3 linked regions of the Lytechinus pictus genome follow. The protein of the gene in region 2 purifies or fractionates together with the protein of the main gene of each other region. This does not show direct contact. Links are inferred from orthologs where the notes say so. Each region holds a gene or a part of one and is shown on either strand. Other genes may lie near its edges. The genes, in order: nuclear migration protein nudC-like, dnaJ homolog subfamily A member 2-like and WD repeat-containing protein 76-like.

Region 1 (7,806 bases), on a different chromosome or scaffold from region 2:
AAACTTTTTAAATTAAAAATGACAAATCTATCCTTTCGGTTTCATTACTTTCATAAATCATCATGATCATGTCATATTTTTATATCCTAGAAATTCCTACCCAACATTTTGCTGATTTTTGACTGATTTTATTAAAAACCAACTTCAGCCAGACTGAATATAAATTTCTATTAGTATAAAAAATGAAATAGAAGGATTTTTTTCTAGAAATTTACGTATGTTTGATAAGATGACCCTACACTCCCTACAGTCAGTAGAGGCGCACGGCCAATATTGGAGACTGTGGCGCTAGTGTAGTTTCGCACCTCCCCGTTTAATGGTTTTCAAACATGTAAAATCTCACCCTAAATAATTCACAACCTAAAATACTTGCATCTGAGCCTCCAAAGTCCAGTAGAAGTTGAATATTTGCCGTTTTTACACTTTTTTTTTACAAAGTTTTACACCTATTTCGGAATCACTCGGTCGCTTGAAGCTCAGCGCTGCACATAAGCAGTCGGTACGCGTACAGTACGTACCACCTAGTGAAGTGCAAGAAGAGTGAGTTTTTCTATGGTATCTTCAAAAAGATTTTTTTCCCCTCTTTCAGCTTGCATCAAGTATTACGGTAGTGGTTGTGCAGAGTGGTTGATGTTTGTTGTATGAAGGTGTGTGTGGGGTGTGCGTGTGTGTGCTTGTTTGAATGAAATAAGAAATGTGAAAAATGTGAATACACGTAGATTTAGCGATGAAATAAGAAATAATAATGTAGAGCCTTGTTTTGATGGTACGGCGTGTGAAAAATTGAAAAATGTAATCTACTAGCATGAAATCAACATAGCATACAATCAACATAGCATACAATTGTAAACTGAAGGAAAGTTCTCTGACCTAGAGTTCAAAACAAGGCTCTACATTATTATTTCTTATTTCATCGCTAAATCTATGTGTATTAATTTCTCGCTCTTCTTGCACTTCACTAGATGGTACGTACTGTACGCGTACCGACTGCTTATGTGCAGCGCTGAGCTTGATGAAGCGACCGAGTGATTCCGAAATAGGTGTAAAACTTTGTAAAAAAGTGTCAAAACGGCAAATATTCAACTTCTACTGGACTTTGGAGGCTCAGATGCAAGTATTTTAGGTTGTGAATTATTTAGGGTGAGATTGTACATGTTTGAAAACCATTAAACGGGGAGGTGCGAAACTACACTAGCGCCGAGACTGTCTCCAATGTGGGAGATTATCTCCAATATCAGAGACTTTTGTAAAGAATTTGGGTATCCAATTTCAGAGAGTCTCCAGTTTTGGAGACCAATTTCCTTTGTTTACATTTGCTGCAAAAGGATTACCTTGGCGGCAAATAAAAATGTGATAAGGAGATTCCTCATAAAAAATTACCCCTTTTCACCGTCTACTTTAAAAATTCACCGTCTACTTTTGTTTTGATAAGGATTTTTGTTGTCAATCACACACAAAACAAATGGGCTTCTGACCTCAGTGAGACAAAATTTTGGGTGGGAAAAATCATGCTTTTGTTGGTGTTGTTTCTTTTGTCCTTTTGCAAAGCAAGTCTCCAATGTGGGAGATTGTCTCCCCTATTGGTAAGAGTCTCCCATATTGGCCGTGCGCCTCTACTGACAGTATGATGGGGTGTCCAAACTTCGCGCACTTTTCAAAAATATTCATCAGGCTTAATTTTGTTCACAAAATATTCATAATTTATACAAAACCAATTCAAGAAATAGTTACCACATTGACGGCAAGATCGTAATCTATAAAATCATGGACGAAAATGTAAAGTAGGTCAAGGGGTTTCGCCGGTATCGCGATCTCAAAATTCTATTCCGATCGGTGAATGCGGGCTGTGCTGGAAACCGTTCAGAAAAAATGTGACTTAACTTCGCGCACCAAAGTTTTTGTGGAGATTCAAACAAAAACTCAAGCTCAAAAAGTGAAATATTTTTATATCAGATTGATGGCAAAATGCTATGGAATTGGTTAGTACCACATTCAACTCACATTTTTGATGATTTCTGCTTGCAAAATGGTGATATCGTGATGCTTGTTGATTTCTTCAAAACGGGCGCAAGCGGTGGCAAATTTGCCGATCTTTTGCCAATATTTTCATGAATACTGAACTCATCCTAAAGAAATTTTTATTAAAGGGTAATTTTAGGTCGCTTTTCACGTTGACGATGTCAGATTTTAAGGATATTGGCTAGTTTTTGAGATAATGACCGTCCGCGAAGTATGGACACGCGCGAAGTTTGGACTCACTGCCATAAATGGTTTCAATCGAATAAGAAACACGATAGCGGTTGTGTGGGACCGAGATAAACTAAAAGAAGCGAAGAAACGCAAAAATGAACGCGTGGGACCGGACCAAGATGAACTGATACTTGCGGACTTGCATAGCAAATTAAATGCAGTATAATCACACAAATCAAAACTTATCATGAATGAAATTATGCCAGTTACGTACCTGATGAATTCCTTGTTCTTGTTGCTGGGCCATTGCCATCAGCATACCGTCAAATCTATCGTCATCCTCAGCCATTTTTCCACATGTGGTTCACCAAAATGAATGAATAAATTTCGGTACTGGTAGTCTTCGTTTTCTAGCATATATATGGGTAATATATGCAATATATGCAGGGCGGAGTCAGAAAATTCTAGAAACATGAGCAAACTACTGGGCCTTGATGGTGGTGGTGGTGGTGGTGGAGGGGGAGGAGGGGGCCGGGCTGACATGGGTGGGTGGCTAGGGGCTTTAATGTTTCAAATATGAATTGTCTTGATTTCCAATGACTTTTTGAATGATTTAGACTCTATTTTTTTTTTTAATTGTTAAAATCTATTCATTTATTTATTTATCTATCTATCTATCTGTCTATCTATTTGTTTATTTATCCATCTATTTCTGAAGGAAGGAGAAGGGTTAGATGCCGGGGTTAGATGGGGGTAAGGAAGTAAATAGATCGATCGAGAGCTATATAGAGCGGAAGGAAGAAGGCACATGCACACACCGAAGTATGCCATGGGAAGTATGATCCTCACTCGCGCCCTTTTTTATGGGGGGCCGGGGGGGGGGGGGTAGTTCATACCCCATGTTTCAAGGAAAATGTGTGAGTTGCTGAATGACGGCCTCTATTCATTTCTATTCTTCTGATAGGTCCATGATTATACTAATGATGGTGATGATCATTGAATGATGATGACGACAATATGATGATGATGATGGTGATGATGGTGATCATGATGATCATGATGATGACGACGACGACGACCGCGATGATGATCATATGGTGAGGATGATTATTCTATTCTATTCAATTACAATTTTTTTTAGTCTACGATATATCCTTTCCTCCAGTAACATAATATTGCAAACATTGACATTAAAGCTAAATGAACGTAGTTGCAGTAGTAAAACACTAATTTCGTGAGAAAGTCTGTAAAACCAAAGTTAAGTATGACTATATCATCGTGGATCTAGATCTGGTACAGTTACATAAACTGAACTTTGTGAAATCATGAAATCTAAGCTGAAATACGATCACACTGAAGATCGCCAACACAGATAGGCACATGTGGGACAGTGTATTATTATTGCTGGAATAAAGACCCGACGGAAGTGACCGAATCCGCGCTTATTTTGCTTATTTCTCAGCAATTACACAATTTCTCCCAGAATCCTTTGGCACATATTTTTTATTCATATACAAACAGACACTTGGGTGGTCATTATATTAGATTCTGTAAAAAGTCATTTTGAGATCGTTATTACCAGAACTGGAATTTACCTTTAAATTAAACATTATAGAAAATTGAACTTGTAGACAAGACAAATAAGAGGGGATAATTATACATGAATAAAGAAGAAGGGAGGATGATTCCGATGAACGGTATATCCATAAGAAAGAAAAAAAAACATTCATCCAAACATTTCGGCCTTGTTATAACTAGATATTAATTTACATTATTTATGTCAACTACATTGTTCAAATGTGTTGTTCTCTAAACTATCAATATATAGGCCCTATAGCCTATCGTATATTCGATCATATTCTTTGACTGAGTTGGGAACTCACTGAATCATTAACCGAAGCTATATTCGTTTTGAACAACGTTCGATTTTTTTTAATCGCGCGATCCGGCGCGCGATGCAACAGGTGAAGCTCAAACTTTGGTCTCACAGGATAATTCAACACAAAAAGCTTCAATTTTCACACATATTTACAGAAAATACAGAGGCATTTTTTTTTTGGGGGGGGGGTGGAATTGTGTTTTGTTTACAAAAAAAAATATCGAGAGTAAAAATAATGAAATACTGTAAGCATTGGGCCTTAATGTCTACATTTATTGATGAAAAACATATATTTGCAGAAGATAGACCAATGAAGACGTATGACTATGAATATGAAGACAATTTTTTTTTTGGGGGGGGGGTGGTAATGAAGATATTCAAGGAGGGTGAAAGTATGAATCCTCATCTCTTCTCCCAAAAAAAGTAATTGAAAAGAAACACAAATGCTGAGAATAAAAAAAAATACTGTGTCAGTGTATAGACCTAGTATATACAACATTAGTTTATAAACATAACTTGACTATAAAATGTCTATCAGGTCCATTCAAACGAGAATACATTTTATCCTGAATAATTTTCTAGGGGCAACACGCCCAAAACCTCAAGCAATATGCGAGTGAGGGTGAACTTTGATAATTAAGTTCATGATTTACCTAGCACAGGTGCGGCCATGCAAACACACTTATCACGGTGAAGGTATATAGTTTACTACATCAAATGCTCGGTATTCGCTTCATTAGTACATGATCGTATAAAACTGACAGATTGTTACAACTTGTAAATAACATGTCAGCAACAATAACCATTGCCATTATATTAACATGTTCTTTGATTGGAGCTATGTTTCTCTCTGCGCTGACGGGATACCTTAATCGTCAAAAGCGACGTAATAGTTAATTTTGATCTCTTTCCGTCGAAACTGGTCTTCCTCATCTGACAATTCGTCTGTGGAACGGAAGAGTGAATTGTGACATCAGTCCTGAAACTGCAGCGATTACACAAGAACACACAAGCATTTATATTTCATCACTTTGGATTGAGCGAGTCTCAAGGCGAATATAAAAATGAAACTATCACTCTTTGGATTGATATTATTCTGTATCACTACAACCGTTTTATGTCAAGGTGATATTGAGGACATCCCAGGCGAAGCTAAGGTAATTGAACTTGAAGTAATATTGTATATTGAGTTTGTTTATCATAAACAATTATCCTCAAATCTACTTATATACAGACATATATTGTACCGACACAATAACTATTATATGTGAATTGTAAGTGGCGAAACCGGGGGGGGGGGGGGGGCACATCCGGCCCGCCCCCCCTTGAGAGTCACAGCAAATATTTTTCAGGGGAATACTGGGTCGTTCATACACAAGTGATGACCTTTTTTGCTTGTCAAATTTCACGTGGGACAAAATGACCTTAATTTTTTTGTATTTTTTTTAATTTTTTTAATTGTTATTATTATTATTATCATTTTTTTTTTTTTTTTTTGGGGGGGGGGAAGGCTTGTCAAATTTTCGTAGAGAAAAATGTTCCCTCCCCCTTTTTGGAAAATCCTGGATCCGCCCCTGGTGAATTGTGTTTGTTTATTTGAAGGTAAAGACGAAATTATATCTATAATAACTACATTTATATTATGTTATTAATACTTCCATGGCAATTTATGCAAATTGAATTTAATTACACTAAATATGCAACATACTTAGGTTAGGCATATATGTTTTTGTTATTTTACATCATTAACCCCCATATTTGATTCATGGAAAAAAAAAATTCGTCGCATGTAAAATGTAAAGCTGCTGTAATTTGCACAGAATACATTATATTTGTCATTGCTCTCATATTAGCCCGTGTTAACACCCTGCCAGGCAAACAACACAAAATATGAAATAGACAGATGAGAAAAGGAGAAAGAGAGGGAGAGAGGGGAGAGAGAGAGAGAGGGGGGGGGGGGGGGGGGAGAGTGGGAGAAGGTGAACTATTCAAATTCTATTTTGTTTACCAATCATGTCGGTATATGCAATTAGCCCAAATCAATATTTAAGAACAGCTGTCTTCAACACTTTTGCGTTCTTTCCCACAAATCATACAATACTGATGTACTTCTGATTGAAGCCCATCAGGAATAGACTGATTCGAATCTTATTGCGATATATTCATTGAAAAAATACGAACAATATACTTGTACTTATTTCTGAAATTACCATATGACCCCCCTTTTATGTTGCTCTTTTGCCCTTTTATTTTCCTGTAGTTCTTTTTTTTTTGGGGGGGGGGGGAGTTAAATGAATATGATTTTTGTTCAAATATTAATGATTCGGTCTTTAAGCCCGTTAATGACTCACTCTTACACAATCACAGAGAAATGTGTAAACAGATGTGACTTAATTAGAGGTAAATGGCAATATTGAAAACTTCAATTTTCGCTGGTCTTATTTCCATCACAACTTAGATCGTTTGTTTGTTTTCATGTATTTGTTTCCATACAACCTCCTCCAAATAAACATGTTGAAAAAAAATGTATGGCGGAAGGTCTATTTAAGTGGTACTAACATTTTTATGCCTGTATTCAATTGAGGGTCCTTTTGAATTAATGACATATCTTCAACAATGGAGAAAGGATTGCCTGTAAAAGACCAAACTCGAATCATATAGGCAGTCTTATTCAAACAAATATCTATTGAAGTTGATATATGATGTATGACGAAAATAATACTCGAGCATAAATTCACCTTTTCCATGTGATATTTACCTTCAAGGAACTAAATAATAGTTGCCTTTCAGAGTGATCACAAAACACATCAGAGGAAAACAAACAACAAGGCCTATACATGACTACACCACCTAAAATATTATAAAGAAGTAAGATAAGATAAGATAAAGAAAAAAAAATCAAGTGGATTAATATCTAATATTGTATGTATTTATTAACGTTTTTATTTTGTTTGACTTTTAGGATGATGCAGACATTCCTGTTTCCTGGCTTGACATCTTGAGCAAGCTTTCCCAGATCCTGAACGACAAGAACAACAAACCTGACATCACCACACCGACCAACCAATCATATCCCAATCAGCCAATTGACTACCATACCGTCAATGATGACGATAATGTTGAGGGCACTGACGTGGCTACCACTGTTATCTATGAGTACGTGAATGGAACCAAGTTCTGGGAGGACGAGGACGATGGCATACCACATCCCGACACAGTTTCTCCTGTCATTAGCGTCCTTGATGAAGTCGAAAAGGATGATAACTCGTCTGCCGATTCAACAAATTCGCTGTCGATCAACAACGAAGAAGCCGAGATATTACAACCTCCGTCAAATCAAACGTCATTCACAGACTCAAATCTAACTCTCCAGGAAGCCCTCGCCATTCTACGAGATAGAAACCAACAAAATAACTTCCATGATCAACAAGACGGGGATGAAGAAAGGCAAGAACCACCTCAGAACAGCACCGACCACGCCGACAATGTCCTCGACCATCTCTCCGAAGAGACATCACTATCTCGTCTGTATTATCATCAAGATTACACGACAGAGACCAATCAAAGTATTTCAGATGACAGGAACAGAACAGTCGATATAGAAGATGTTGCATCGGCGACTCCAACTCCACTAAAGTACAATTACACTATGGTTTCAACGAACGCTTCATCATCCAGACCTGAAGTTTTCGGAGAAAATGCATCTCGAACAGACATGACAGAGAGACCTTCGATGG
Region 2 (7,407 bases):
AATAAAAGACTGGATATTAGTCTAAATTATTTATGAATGGAATTTTCCACAACTTGAATGGAAAGACCGCATGCGAGAGATCAAATGGCACATGTTCGACCCCAAGCCTGTCAAGAGACCCAGGGAATTCCCCTGATTGACGCAGAAATTCAAAGCTTGATCGATGGGCTTCAACATTCTATTTGAAGAAATAAAATTCAGAGGATGAGAGAGCGTGAGAGAGATAGGGGGGGGGGAATATCTGGGATTAAATTGCTGATAATACAATGAAACTGTTATTTAAACTAAAAAGTTATTTTTATAATTTAGCTCTAAAAAAATAGATATAATTGTTATTTGTTTAGGCCTGTTTTTCTTAATTTTTCTACTTGCCTTTATCAAAGATTTTCCACTGTTGCTTTTACTCTGCTTGACTCATTTTTTATATTTTATTTTCTATTTTTTTTTTTTTTTTTTTTTTTTTGGGGGGGGGGGGGGGGTGTTGTTACCTAGAGGTATGCGAATGTGGGCGTATCTCCTCTGTTGAATCTGGACCAGCTCCACCATTCCACCTGGGCAGCTTCCTCGTTGTTGTCAAAGAATAAGTACAAATCTTCCTGAAGACAAAAACTGCAGCATTTTATATTGTAAACCAAAGAATAGGCCTTCAATGTCATAAAGACATTGATATCTTTGCAATACGCCACAGCAGGCATTGTTGCACGTGTTGCACTGCACCGTACCGTATTTGATTTGATGAATGAAATGAAAATAAGAACGGGTTTCATGACATGAACCAAAGGGCACAGAGTAACTTGAACTTGTAAATGGGGAAATTCCACTCAAACATAAAAGAGTATTCTAAGCATAAAACTGAAATAATTGATATGTTTGATACAGTGCTATATTGTTATGGATGTTTATGATATAGAGGTAAATTATGTTTGTTTCTACTGATACTTTTACCGATGTGTTCAAGTCACCCCAATTAATAAATGAACTTTCAAACTTTAACGATGAAAACAAGACCCAGCTCGTCCGGCATTTATCATCATGGATCACTTGCATAAGAGAGCACCCATTGCTTCGATTTGTTATAATTTTCCAATAAGAGGAGCACTGATCACAAGTTCAATTTTTTTCATCAGTTTAATCATTACCTACTCCACATGATTCCACATTGATTATCTACATGATTCGTTTCGGGACATTCATTTCTTTATTTTTTTTGAAAACTTTGATTTAATTATTAATGAACTCAATCGGCTAGGACCTGGATTTGAAGGTTCCATCGGCACATGTGAAGTTTTGAAATTTTAGGTAAGTACTATAAATAGCTCAGTGGGAAGCAAGTTTCAGGACATGTTGCTGATTAAATAAAAATGCGGTGTAATGAGGCTTATCAGTAATATAATTATTATTAAAAAAATAAAAGTAGACGAAATTTATTTATTTATTATGGCTGATACGTTTAAAAAAGGGAAAAAAATTATATTTACTACAAATAATGTCCTGAAATTGGTAACGGCATGTCATGACTGTGTGGAAAGAAATTGGGAAGCTAGCTAGCTAAGGCCGGTCTGGTATACCCATACCGTATACGCAGTGCATCAGTACCGGGTGCGCTGGGCACGGCATGGCCGTGACTACGTTCGGAGTTCTGACGGAGAAGAAAAGATGGAAATAACTTCCACCAAAAACATAATCTAGAAGTCGAATATGTCAAATGATCATCATTTATAGGTATGAAATATGAATCATCGTTTATTTTTAAAGTAATTCGTAAATTTCTATTTATGGAGAGACTTTTACTTTTTAGAATGCATGTTTCGTAATAACGTCTCGTGCACAAGCTACCACAGACTACGAGCCGGGCTGCAGCGGCAAATTTAAAATTGAATATTAATTTAAGGAGGTCGTTCGAAACTAGCTATTCATCGACCATTTTACGTGACAACTAGCTTCGGGGAAGTTAGGGGGCTGAATCGGTTATCTCTGTCCCTTTCTGGTCTCACAAAGGCCATAGTTTGACACTTAATATCTTCACTTTTTGGAAACCTTTGGAACTGGGAGTTGGTATGTTTGCTTTGATTTTGTTTTCTCTTTCATGTCATTGTAAATAAAAATGTGAAGACGTTCAAATAAAAATTTTAGGATTTCAATTTGTCCACCCTACAGTAAGACTAACTTTCAGTAGAGGCGCTGGTCAGAAAATTGGGATCGTCCCAGTTTACAGGGACTGTCTCAGTTTATAAGGATTTCTTCACACAAGAAATCTAGGAAAGTTCATTCACCTGTTGAGTGGCGACACCAATCAAGAGTGCTAGTCAATGTAAACATATCAGGTTTCATAACAAGATTATTGGAAGACGGCAAGTCATAATAAATAAACGGTGAACTGGGGGGAATTGAGGTCACTGAATCTATTTTTAGCACTCTCAATTCCCCTAATTGCTGTCTTTGTCCCGTAGGGAGAAGTGAAGAAAAAACGTCCCCATAAACAAGGACAGTCTCAATTTATCAAGACATAATTTGTCTTGGTTTATAAGGATATCCTTGTTTTCTGGGACAATCCCAATTTTTGGACCAGCGCCTCTACTGACTTTACTTAGTGCTATTACCGGCATGACCGGTAAGGCGGTATACGTTGTTTTTTACGTACGGGCCTCTAACTTAGCTCTTCAGTCTATCACTCTATGTATTGGTGAGTGGAGCCAACGCAGCTGAACAACTAAATACCTATTCCAAGACTGAAGTTTTTGGTCTAGCAATAGCTTGGCATGCAGCAGCATGCAGCACACACACCGTCAAATGACAATGCCGGTACCGGTACCGTACCGGTACCGCATGCGTGCCCCTATCCCTTTCATTGATTCATTCATTCAATCACCTGTGATTCTGGTAAATAGCAACGCAACAATTAGCATGAATGCCCAACCAATATGATAGTTTACCGTAAGAAAATTATAACTAACCTTTTTCAATTCATTACTCTCGACATTCGGAGAGACTCCAAGAAGATCGTACAACTTAGTGTCGTTAGAACTTGGTCTCGAACTCGGTCCCATTCCAAAGAACGCCATGTTTGTTGCGTCACAAGCTGAATATACGGTAATGTAGTGAAATCACATGCACGCACTAGAAGAATCCAACGATCATGCATACGCGCGCATGCATTGCAGAAGTATGGGAGGCCAAAAGGGAAAGAAAAAAATACTATTGTGTGTGTGTGTATTTGAGTTTTGTCAGACGTGTATCAATCAGATATGATTATTTTACGTCTGGGACCGACCTTTAACGTCACCATCCGAAAGACGTGACCAGGGCTCGAACCTCTGCATCAATTTGTAACTTCCCCACAGCTTGGATTACAGGCGCACGCCACAGCGCCAAGTGATCATCGTGTGTCCTTTAATTCTCCCTTGCCCCTTCCGCCTTAACCACCCCCTCCACCAGTAGCATACGCGGATGGCAGGATTTTTAAATGGGGGGGGGGGGGGTCAAGGTTCAAGCTGAATGAAATGTTGAAAAAAAGGTCTTCACTCTTCACTACAAATTTTAGGTCGTTTCCTACCCCCAAATAACTTGACAAGAAAAAAGTCTTCATGCACCACCAATTTTTGCGCCGTTTTGTATCTCAACAAAAATTTGACAAGCAAAAAAAAAGAATTATTGGGGGAGGGGTTGAATTCTTGGGGGGGGGGGGTGGGTTTGAAAAAAAATTAAGGGGGGTTGAACCCCGCCTGTAACCACCCCCTGCGCGTACACTACTGTCCTCCACCACCCCAACCATAACCACCAGCCATTAGCCCCCTTCTGCATCTGCATTCATAAGTTTTTGTGCATCAGCTATAGGTTTCAGCACTAACAAAATATTAAGGGTCTGAAGATTGAGACTAAATAGTACATGGAGATATATTGCTATGATTTGCATTACGCTAGTGTAGGATGTCAGACACGTAGATTTATAAATTATTTTGCTCACCAGTCATATCACATGATTAAGTTCACAAATCAAGAAATCAGATCATCCAATACAATTACAACAACTGAGTTTGGAATTGACATCTACAAAATGGTCCAACCAACTCCATATATACAGCTGATGGATCCAAAGTTCCAGAAAGGGGGATTATAGTTCAGCCGCTTTCTACAATACGGTATGCGCCTTATTTTTCTATTTACCAAGGAAAAAGATTATCGAATTTCACCTCTCGGAATCGATTGCGATTATTCTTGCACTGGAATCGATAAAATATATATATATATATATATATATCTATATATATATATATATATATATATATATACAGGTGTTGTTATTTTCAGTGATTCATTAAGTGCACTTTTATCTTTACAGAATCGGAAGGACGATTCTGACTATTACAAGACTCAAATATAAAGGTTTGGATCCCTGGTCACTGTGGAATAAAAGGAAATAAAATAACAGACTCCTGCGCAAAAAAGGCTTTATCAAACAAAATAGAATTTCATAATCAAATAACATTATCAGAAATTACGCAACTTATTTCAAAAAGTTGTAAGATAGTTTGGCGAGAGATGGAATAAAACTAACTCAGCACTGATCGAAAGAACTATAAGCATCAGTGCTCCGCATATAAACGTAATTTAGAAAGACACGAATATTCCACCGTCTCCGTTTTGGAGTCACTGGTCTCAACCAAGATCTATATACCCTTTCAAACTGGCCTCTTCATTTTTCCCCGGCGAACTTCGCCGGCGAACATTTCCAGTACGCATTCCTCACTTCCCCGGCGAACTTGAAGAAAAATATGTACCCTTTCTACATCTCTTCCCCGGCGAAAGTCGACGGGTAAAATTGCTCGGGCGGAAGTAAGTGCAGACCACTGATCTCTCAGTGGTGGAGTGAAAGCGCGCGCTTTTTTAAATTTGAATTTTAATCGTTCTCTGTCCTTTATATCAGTGAAGTTTTGGAGATGACAGCTGGTAAACACTTCTCAGCTGCTGCTGCTGATCGATCTCACTCGGCACGTGCATGCATGCAGAATTAGAACGAACGAAAAGAAAATTGTAAATATTGCTTCTTACCGATTACAAAAAGGTGTTAAAAAATTTACAACATATTCGAGAAATATTAGAAGCAAAACAAAAAAGAATCAAAGTATTTTGATATTTCAAGCGTATTTTCAGCATGTAAAATAACGCTTTTGAATTAAATATTGTTAGTGAAAAAAAATATATGTTCGAGAGTATTTAACTCTATGGAATGATCGAATCGCTCATAAAGTAGTCTGCAGGCAGACCCTGATTGAAACTTTTATCAACAAGTGTGTCTCCACGCAAAGACTAGCACATACAAAACTTGCTGTTTCAGGAGGCATGAGTAAGCTGCAATTCAGACCCTTTACTCGAGTGAAGGGTTTGCCCAGCAGACTACTCTTTAAGGGTGGCCTTCTACATTTTAGCCACGGAAATAATACATGTAGCTATAGCTAGCGCGCGGAATCTCAGTTCAGGGGATTTCGGGGAGAAAAAAAAAGACATCTGACGTCATTAAAGAGGAGAAGTTCTCTGGTTAGCTTTTATACTGGCTGTTTCACCGGAGAACTTCGCCGGGGAAACAGTTTCACCGGCGAAGTTCGCCGGGGGAAGTTTTCCTGTGTACCTTCATACTGGACACTTCCCCCTTCGCTGGCGAACTTCGCCGGCGAAGTTCACCGGGGAAAAGCTCAGTATGAAAGGGGTATTAGATTATTTAGGGATCCATCAAACAGGTTTTGTGATCATGGTGATGGATTTCCTGAGGTATAGAAACTGTCAGACATTATATTTTACATTGTCCAAAATATGATTGAACGATCATGCTTCTTGCAGAATTGAATGAATCACAGCCAGGACAAATAATAAAGTATTAAAAAAGATGGCCCAGGGACACAGAAAGCATTTTTTACGTTTCGTTTCAAGAACGAAACGTTTTAGTAAGGAGTAGTTATTAGTGATGTGCTAGTATATATATATTGTTTATATACTTTATAAGAAGTATGAACGGATATATGCTTGTATATATAAGTTTAATATGAAAAAATATACATATATGTGTGTGTGTATATATACATGACTGTGTGTGTGTGTATGTATGGTGACCTAGGCATTTATGTCCGAAAAATCGGCACAATATATGTACCTTTCTGACGGGTATGATTGCATCTTTGATACTATTCAAAGGGCATGGCAAGCGCAACTAGTTGGAACTGGGCTGAAGATAGCGGCTTGTTTTTGGTGAAGATTTTTTTATGCCATTTAAGACAAAAGAGTTATGACAAACTTTTGTATAATTATCTTTTTTCATATAAGAAGGATAAACAAGAAAAAATATTTTATTGTGTATACATCATATTGGTATTAATATCAATATGTGTGAAGTGAGATTTTATAGACAATGGAGACAATAGTCAAATATAGTCTGCAGGCAGGGACCCTGATTGAAATAAGTGTGTCTCCACGCGAAGACTAGGCATACAAAACTTGCTGTGGGCGAGGGGGCCTTCAGTACACAATGCATGATCATAGGCTGCAATTCAGACCCTTTACTCGAGTGAAGGGTTTGCACAGCAGACTAAGCCAAATATGACTAATCGCCACTCAAACCAACATGAGAAGAAGAAGTTGTGTCTGGCGGCTACACCCCACCACCAAAAATGCCTGGAATTTTTTTTTTCAATTATCCTGACGCCCGGTCCTGACGTAAGCATGACAATACCTCTTTTTCTTCTGCATTGTGCTTCTTTATAATTATTCATTTATTCGTAGATTTGAATATCTATAAACAGGATAAAACATGATCAAGTGCATGTGTTCTACACATTATTATGTTCCTGATACATCTGATCAATTATAGGCCCTTTTGAACATGCTCTTATTTACTTCAGATAAATTTCTTTACTATTATTTTTTTCTTGTTCACGTTGTTAGTTCAAAATTTACATTTTTTTAAATTTTGTTTATGCTGGGGCGCTGAACCCGGGGCAGACAAGGGGCATGCACTTACCCCCCAAATAATTACACAAAGGAAAAAAAGTGCTACTCTTTCAAAATGTGCCGTTTGTGAGCTAATACTTTTTTAATTTGCACATTTTCCCCCCAGGACTTACATTTTGTTCCATATCGATTACTTTAGCGAACTTAAATTTAGTCCTAAAATTTTGCGTATCCTGTTAATAATTGTTTTTCTGCTTATCTGTTATGCATTGTAATGCGCAGTTGAGTATAACCAAATAGAAATTGCGCAATATAAATTTACAATCATTATTATTATTATTATCAATGCTTCCTATTTTTGGCCCCTGAAGGGCGCGTATCTAATACAAAGACATCATTTCGAATTAGACATTATCTACGAACATGCATTTTAGCATAGAAAAGCATATCATGATGCCCTTCATCTTT
Region 3 (7,998 bases), on a different chromosome or scaffold from region 2:
ATAATGATGCAACAGAACAAAACACTGAAAAAACTAGAAATTTGACATGTCCAAAGGACACAGATGCCCCCGCTTAACGCGATCAGAAATTCATTCGATATGATTGAACTTAATATCGTGCAGAAACCAAAACAATGAATTTAGACCTTTGAACCAACTCGCATATATGAGCTGTGACCTTTGGACTCCGAATTCGAACTTACATGTAGCCCGCCCCCTTTTGGAAAATCCTGGATCCGCCCCTGACAAAGACTAACATGTATAAAAATGGGACCTTCACCTTCGCTAGGTGCTCAGCACTTAAGATTAGAGAAGGATAGTAATAACATCTTATGTCATGGTACGGTAGAGTTTCTCTTCTCTACCAGCGGTAAAAACGGCTTGCAGCTGAAATGGTAATAGTGGTAATACTGGGTAAATAAGAGTTATTATTATCATTCCCAACTATAGTGGCTACCCTAAGTAAATGAAATATCATTATTACCATTTCTACATCTGATTCTTCTTTTAGAGGTCTGATATCCGCATTCTCCTCTTCTTCATCCTCCTCCTCTTTGATTTCCTTTTTCACCTTTTCCTTCCCTCTCTGAACATTTTCCTTCAAGATGTTTGTCCTGGTCAGCGACACCTTTGCGTCCTTTTTCATAACTCTTGGTGAGCGTCTGACGGCGGGCGACAAGTCGGCATCTGGCATCTCTGCTTTCAAACTAACAGAAGTCTGAAAAAAAAAAAAAAAATAGAAAGATGAAAAAAATAGGTTCGGTGGACCAATTTTCACAACCTAATTGATAAATCTGCAGTATTAGAAAAGCTTCAACATAGTAATGAATGGGGATATTCTGGCACTTTTTTTTGGCCAAGGTTATTTTATTAATTAAAGGACAAGTCCACCCCAACCATAAGTGGATTTGAATAAAAAGAGAAAAATCCAACAAGCAGAATACTGAAAATTTCATTTAAATCGGATGGAAAATAAGAAAGTTATGACAATTTTAAGTTTCGCTTAATTTCACAAAATAGTTATATTCACATCCTGGTCGGTATGCAAATGAGGGAACTGATGACATCACACACTCACTATTTCTTTTGTATTTTATTATATGAAATATGATATATTCTAATTTTTTCCTCATTGTCCTGTGAAACAAAGTTTTATTTCGCACTGAACATGTGGAATTACCATTGTTTAACTTTTTTTTTTTCAGTCAAGTTGGTCTTTATTGTCAAATCTGTAAAAATTGAAATATTGTATGATTCAAACAATAAAAAACAAAAGAAATAGAGAGTGAGGGACATCATCGATTATCTCATTTGCATGTGACTAAATTGTGCATATATAGCTATTTTGTGAAAAATAAGCGAAACTTTAAAATATCATGACTTTCTTATTTTACATCCGATTTTGATGAAATTTTCAGCATTATGCTTGTCTGATTTTTCTCTATTGATTAAAATCAACATTTTTCTGAGGTGGACTTGACCTTTAAGCACTCGAAGGCTACATCGAGGAAGTCCTGCAGGCTGCATGCCATCGTTATATTTTCTGTTTTCCAGACTTCCTCTTCTTCATTTCTCTGTCTTAATAAGTTATTGTTTGTAATTAATACTAACTTAATTTGTATTCCAAAGACTACCTTTTTTAAGGCTGACCCAATAAAATTTTTAAAATCAAACAAAGCCAGCTAACATAAGTAACATTCAACTTTAATTAACTTAGATTAATAAGTTATTGTTTGTAATTAATAGTACTGACTTTGCATTCAAAATACTAGGCCTACCTTTTTTTAAGGCTGACCCAATAAAAATTTTAAAATCAAACAAAGCCAGCTAACATAAAGTAACATTCAACTTTAATTAACTTAGATTAAATTTCCCTGAAACTTATACTGCCTCGCCCAAATGTCAGACGTTAGGGTTAGAGTTTTAGTAACTTATATAGGCCTAACAAGTTAGACCCTAACCAGTAGAGGCGCACGGCTAATATAGGAGACTCTCTCCAATAGGGGAGGCAATCTCCCACATTGGAGACTTGCTTTGCAAAAGGACAAAAGAAACACCAACAAAAGCATTATTTTTTCCACCCAAAAGTTTGTCTCACTGAGGTCAGAAGTCCATTTGTTTTGTGTGTGATTGACAACAAAAATCCTTATCAAAACAAAAGTAGACGGTGAATGTTTAAAGTAGACGGTGAAAAGGGGTAATTTTTCATGAGGAATCTCCTTATCACATTTTTATTTGCCGCCAAGGTAATCCTTTTGCAGCAAATGTAAACAAAGGAAATTGGTCTCCAAAACTGGAGACTGTCTCTGAAATTGGATACCCAAATTCTTTACAAAAGTCTCTGATATTGGAGATAATCTCCCACATTGGAGACAGTCTCCAATATTGGCCGTGCGCCTCTACTGCTAACTAAGTGCCTAACTAGGCCTATGTCAATCTATTTATTTTTATTAAAGAAATTAAATTATTAAAACAAATAAGACAGCTGACAGGTTCCTAATATCATTTTATACATTTGAATTTAATATCATAATTCTAGAATTAGATGTAAGAATTAACTAACACACTAAAATATGAAGCTGAATACAGTGACAGTGACAGCTTCGTCTCTGGCCAGGCTACGGTTCGGTTCATTACAAGTCAAAGTCCGGCGAGATCCCGGCATCCCTCGGCGGCGACCATCGATGAAATCAACAAGAGCCTGCATGACTTACCCGCTTTGCTCTCTTCGAAGCCAATGTTGATTCGGCTGCTTCAAGTTCAGAACCTCCTTCTCGCTTTGGTCTTGGATTTCGAGTGCGAGTTACAGGGGCCATATTAGCTGATTTATAAAATGTTTTAGTTGCGATCATTTATAGCAGGTTCTGATGAACAGTCGAGAGCATGTACACAGTCACAGACAGATCCACGAATTTATCAATTGATGTCACACAGCACATGCACAGTATATACGGTATGTCGTGTTTATGCACGTGAAAAGTCATGTTTACATAAATTGCGCGCGCTTTGATTACGAAACATCGGCTTGCTGCAACCTCGTCCCCGGGGAGGGAAGGGGTGTTTCAGAAGACGAATACGTAGTGCTGCATAAAAATATTGATTTGAACAGATTAAAGGTCTTAAAGGTCAAGTCCACCCCAGAAAATGTTGATTGCAATCAAAAGAGAAAAATCAAACAAGCATAACGCTAATAATTTTATCACAAGCGGATGTAAAATAAGAAAGTTACGACAATTTAAAGTTTCGCTTATTTATCACAGTTAGGCCCTATGCCATGTATGCAGTACAACTCAGTGACGAGCAAAATAATGAGTCGATGATGTCCCTCACTATTTCTTTTGTTTTTCATTGTTTGAATTATATAATATTTCAATTTTTACAGATCTTAAAACAAGGCCCAACTTGACTGAACCATAAAATGTTAAAACAATGGTAATTCTACATGTTCAAGGAGGAATAAAACTATATAGTAGGCTACAACGGGAAGAAAACTGGAATATTTCATATTATTATGAATAATAAAATACAAAATAAATAATAGGTGAGTGATGTCATATCAGTCCCCTCATTTGCGTACCGACCAGGATGTGAATATAACTGTTATATGAAATTAAGCAAAACTTAAATGTCAAAACTTTCTTATTCCCGATTTTGATGAATTTTTCAGTGTTATGCTCGTTGGATTTTTCTCTTTTAATTTTATCAATTTTTTGCTTGGGTGGACTTATAATTGTCCTTTAAGTAAAATCAGACCTACAAAACAATTAAAAAATTATCAAAATACTAAAAGGATAACAAGGTTGTGACATTTTAAAGTGAGCATTATTTCGGTGCATGCAGTGAAAAAGATTATGATCTCAGTAAGATCATAGTACCCCCATAGTAGGCTATAGGCAGTGGCGTAACAGGCGGGGGGCAGAATGGGGCAAGCTCCCCCGCCCCCCTGGCGGATTTCACCGGGAAAATTATAATAAAAAGAAAAAAGGGAGAGAGAACAAAAGAAAGAAAGAAAGAAAGGAAGGAGGAACTTGGGAAGGAAGGAAGGAAGGAAAAAAGAAAGAACGAAAGAAAGGAATGTCGAAGGAAGGAAAAAAGAAAGAACGAAAGAAAGGAATGCCGAAGGAAGGAAAAAAGAAAGGAAGAAGACAGGAAGGAAGGAAAGAAAGAAAGAAAGAAAAAAAGAAAGAAAGAAATGGAAAGGGAAAGAAAAGGAAGAAAAGGAGGAAAGGGGGGGGGCCGGGGGGGAGGAAAGGGAAATGAAAGGGAACAGAAAACTATAAGAAACACATAAAAAGGGAAAACCCCGGGGCAGTCAAAAATATTGCTGTAAAAAATGACCAAAAAACGCTATTAAAGGGGTGTTGGTTTTTTTTTTCAGTTTTGGACGCGGGCCGCGAGTGCACTCGTTAAGGCGACCGCACACCTTACGACTGGTCCGCGACCCGATTTTGGAACAAATCGCATTTTGCTCATTTTCTGAAGATGTGAATGGAACATATCATTTTATTTGAGGTTAAAATTAATTGAAATAATAATATTATAACAATTTTGAAAGATTGCATGCCCTTATTTTGGAGTAAAGTCCAAATTAGTTTCAAATCGTACCCAATCGTAAGACTCCTATGACGTCATAACGACTATATATTAAATTCGCTTTTATTCTAAGAAGGATGATAGCATAGTCACAAATTTGATCATAGGTATACGATGATTTCGAACATTACACAGTAAGATATTCCAAGTCTCAATACTAGCATCAAATTCTATTACATTTTATTCTGAAATCGGGTCGCAGACCAGTCGTAAGGTGTGCGGTGGCCTTTCAAGGGTATCAAAAACACCGATTTTCAAATAAAAGGTGCTTTCTCCTCCTCGTTTCTGAAAAGTGTTCGGGCCCGAGACAAAACTTGTTTAGGGGCCAATATGACTGAAGCGCGCGAAAAAAATTGATAAGGGGATTATTTTGCACACAGAGAAAAACTCGTTTAGGGGGTACCAAATAATTTGGTCATGCATGTGTACAGCAATACATCTAAAAGATGGATGGCATAATAGCATAATGTACGAAATTCTATATAAGCTTGCTAAATCTCCAAAGCTACCGGGGGCTCTGCCCAAGACCCCGTGCAGTAGGGGCTCTTCATCTGTAACATTTAAGGACGTTCCACAGTTAAAGTGAAATCCATGTCATTTTCACCAAACTTTGCACATAGATACTTTAGAACCTTAATATTCGAAATATGCAAAAATTAACATAGGTCCATGTGCTTGATTTTTTGCTATAGAGCTTCAAAGTTCACCCAAATTGATGTTCTTAAGAATTGCGCATTCAAAAGAATTTGGCATTTTTAGACCGCCCAAGATTACTACAATGAGTTTAAACCTCTATTACTCAGTCAAAATACATGAAAAAGTCATCAAATTTCGCAAGAGAGTTGATAATTGTATCGTTAGAATGGAGAATCTATTAATAGTGCTATTTGTTTGCAATTTTAAGTTTAACAGCACTGTCAGTTCTTAAAAATGGCGTAAAAGATAACAAAATCCCAATCTAAAAAATGTAAAATTTCAGTAACAAACTACAAACGTACGATAAATGCTGCACTTTATTCAAAATCCATGTCATTTTCACCAAAATTTGCAGAGTTGTAGAGGAAGGTATACCTAAGAGGTGCAAACATTAAAAAATAGGGGTTCATGTGCTTGTTTTTAAACTATCAGCATTTTTATTAGAGCAAATGTGCTTTCTAAAACACAAAAAATGGGCCAAATGCTTAGTATCTATGTGAAGAAAAAATCAAAACCACTCTACCATTTATTCAAACTCGGGGTAATATTCGTGATTCTTGGCAGCACTGCAGAGTAAAGTATTTTGAAATTGTAGAGAATATATTTTTGAATGGTCCATGGAATAATTCAATTTTTTAGCTTCATGAAATAACGCATCGGATCTGCAGTTAAAGTGCAGAAGATGAGAAAAATCAGCTCATACCCGCAGCTATCACCTGTTCATCCATTGTGACGTCAGCGCGCAGAGTGTAAACTATGCGCAGATCATAATGCGCACAAATATGTTCTGTGGAACGTCCTTAAAGGGCTCTATATAACGGGCCCCTGTATGGACCCTTCCTGCATTATAAGCTTTGCGTTGAAGCACTGGCGTACGGGGGGGGGGGTGGTTCCACAGCCAAGGGGAAATTAACGAAAATCAACGAGGCAGCGAAATTAGATGAATGGAAACAATATATGACATGTTGTTTGCTATCATGTAAAAATCTATCACATAATTAGAATTTCATTTCAAAGGTCCATTTTTCATTCTGGCTCGCTTCGCTCGCTGGGAACTTTTTACAAATTTTCTCCCATTTAGTATGGTGTGCCCCCTCAAAATATTTGGATAAAATATTACGCAACTGCAATTAATTTATGTGTTGTGTCACTGTGAAAGCTATATAATATAGACGCAATTTGATTTTTAAAATAGTGGCCATCGGTAAGGTTTAAAATGACTTTATAGTATCATGAGGTTCCGGGGGCTCCGCCCCGGACCCCACCCACATAGCACTGTTGTATGGAAAAATTTGAACCATGGCCCAAAAAAGTTCTTCAACCAAACAAAAAAGAAAGGAGGAAAGAAAGCAAAGCAAAGAAAAAGTGTAGGCCCTATTATATTTTTCTGAATATCACGTAAAAATCTATCTTAAAGTTATATTCTCACGAAAAGGTGATTTATTTTATCTCGCTCGCTTCGCTTACTCGGGAGCTACCTCTTGCCACACGCGCCATACTGGCCCCCTTCGAGTATAGAGCTTCGCCCTGATGCTCGCGCATGCACAATCATAAAAAAAATCCTGTTCAGCGTGGCGTACAGACCAAGAAAAAAAAGAGAAAGGGAGAGAGAGATTAGTAAAATATGATATTATGCTTTAAACATTATGTCAAAATCTATCACAAAATTGGAATTTTAAAATGAAAATATCATATTTTTTTTTAACTCGCTCGCATCTTTTTAAATTTTTATTTTGCCCGATACACCAGATCGCCCTCTCAAATTTGTTGCTTTGTGACGTCATTGCCTGTTCATACCAATTGTTTTGCAATTGTTTTGCTCTTGCTCCCCCATAAGGAAAATTTAAACAAACATAACACTGAAAATTTCATTAAAATCGGATGTAAAATAAAAAAAGTTATGGCATTTTGAAGTTTCGCTTATTTTCACAAAACAGTGATATGTACAACTCAAACGAATCAGTTGATGATGTCCATCACTCACTATTTCTTTTGTTTTTTATTGTTTGAATTATACAATATTTCATTTTTTACACATTTGACAATAAGGACCAACTTGACTGAACCATATAGTATTAAACAATGCTAATTCCACATGTTCAGGGAGAAATTAATCGATGTTTCCCTTAACAATGAGGAGAAAATTAAATATTTAATATTTCCTATAATAAAATACAAAAGAAATAGTGAGTGGATAACGTCATCAGTCTCCTCATTTGCATACCAAACAGGATGTGCATATAAACTGTTTTGTGAAATTGAGCGAAACTTTAAAATGTAATAACTTTCTTATTTTACATCCGATTTTGATGAAATTTTTAGTGTTATGCTTGTTGGATATTTCTCTTTTTATTCAAATCAGCAATTTGTTGGGGTGGACTTATCCTTTATATAGTGTTGTAACTTCACAAAGGCATATTCTGTGCCCGATTTGATCAAGTTTGCAGTGTTTTGTTTTTCTGGTCTTACGTGTCTGTTATATATTATTTTCAGCCTGGAGTACCCCTTTAGGGACGCACCATTATATATCCAGGTGGGGGAGGGGCTGGAAGTTTTTCAAAAAATTGACTTGCTATTATGAGCAGAAAAAAATTGACTCACCATCAGAGTAAACAAAACAAAATGGTCCACTGACAAATCATCTGAAAAGGGCCAAACAAATTCTCAATGGACTAAAAAAAAAACTTTACTCAAAGAAGAAAAGAAAGA

The links.
Region 1: the proteins of dnaJ homolog subfamily A member 2-like (region 2) and nuclear migration protein nudC-like purify together in Homo sapiens (affinity purification with mass spectrometry; 4 studies listed by BioGRID and IntAct, with this or other methods). This does not show direct contact. The link is inferred for Lytechinus pictus from reciprocal best matches to the Homo sapiens genes DNAJA2 and NUDC.
Region 3: the proteins of dnaJ homolog subfamily A member 2-like (region 2) and WD repeat-containing protein 76-like purify together in Homo sapiens (affinity purification with mass spectrometry; 3 studies listed by BioGRID and IntAct, with this or other methods). This does not show direct contact. The link is inferred for Lytechinus pictus from reciprocal best matches to the Homo sapiens genes DNAJA2 and WDR76.

Annotation. Positions count from the first base shown.
Region 1 is NC_087248.1:5,421,368-5,429,173, forward strand, and holds the start of nuclear migration protein nudC-like, read right to left. Parts: upstream 3,031-7,806; 5' UTR 2,540-3,030; coding exon 2,465-2,539; intron 1-2,464. Other genes in the region: uncharacterized protein LOC135153861, read left to right, coding at 5,134-5,226, 7,032-7,806. UniProt on the Homo sapiens protein: Plays a role in neurogenesis and neuronal migration. Necessary for correct formation of mitotic spindles and chromosome separation during mitosis. Necessary for cytokinesis and cell proliferation.
Region 2 is NC_087246.1:70,311,185-70,318,591, reverse strand, and holds the start of dnaJ homolog subfamily A member 2-like, read right to left. Parts: upstream 3,063-7,407; coding exon 2,955-3,062; intron 1-2,954. UniProt on the Homo sapiens protein: Co-chaperone of Hsc70. Stimulates ATP hydrolysis and the folding of unfolded proteins mediated by HSPA1A/B (in vitro).
Region 3 is NC_087250.1:12,391,577-12,399,574, reverse strand, and holds the start of WD repeat-containing protein 76-like, read right to left. Parts: upstream 3,006-7,998; 5' UTR 2,853-3,005; coding exon 2,715-2,852; intron 719-2,714; coding exon 485-718; intron 1-484. UniProt on the Homo sapiens protein: Specifically binds 5-hydroxymethylcytosine (5hmC), suggesting that it acts as a specific reader of 5hmC.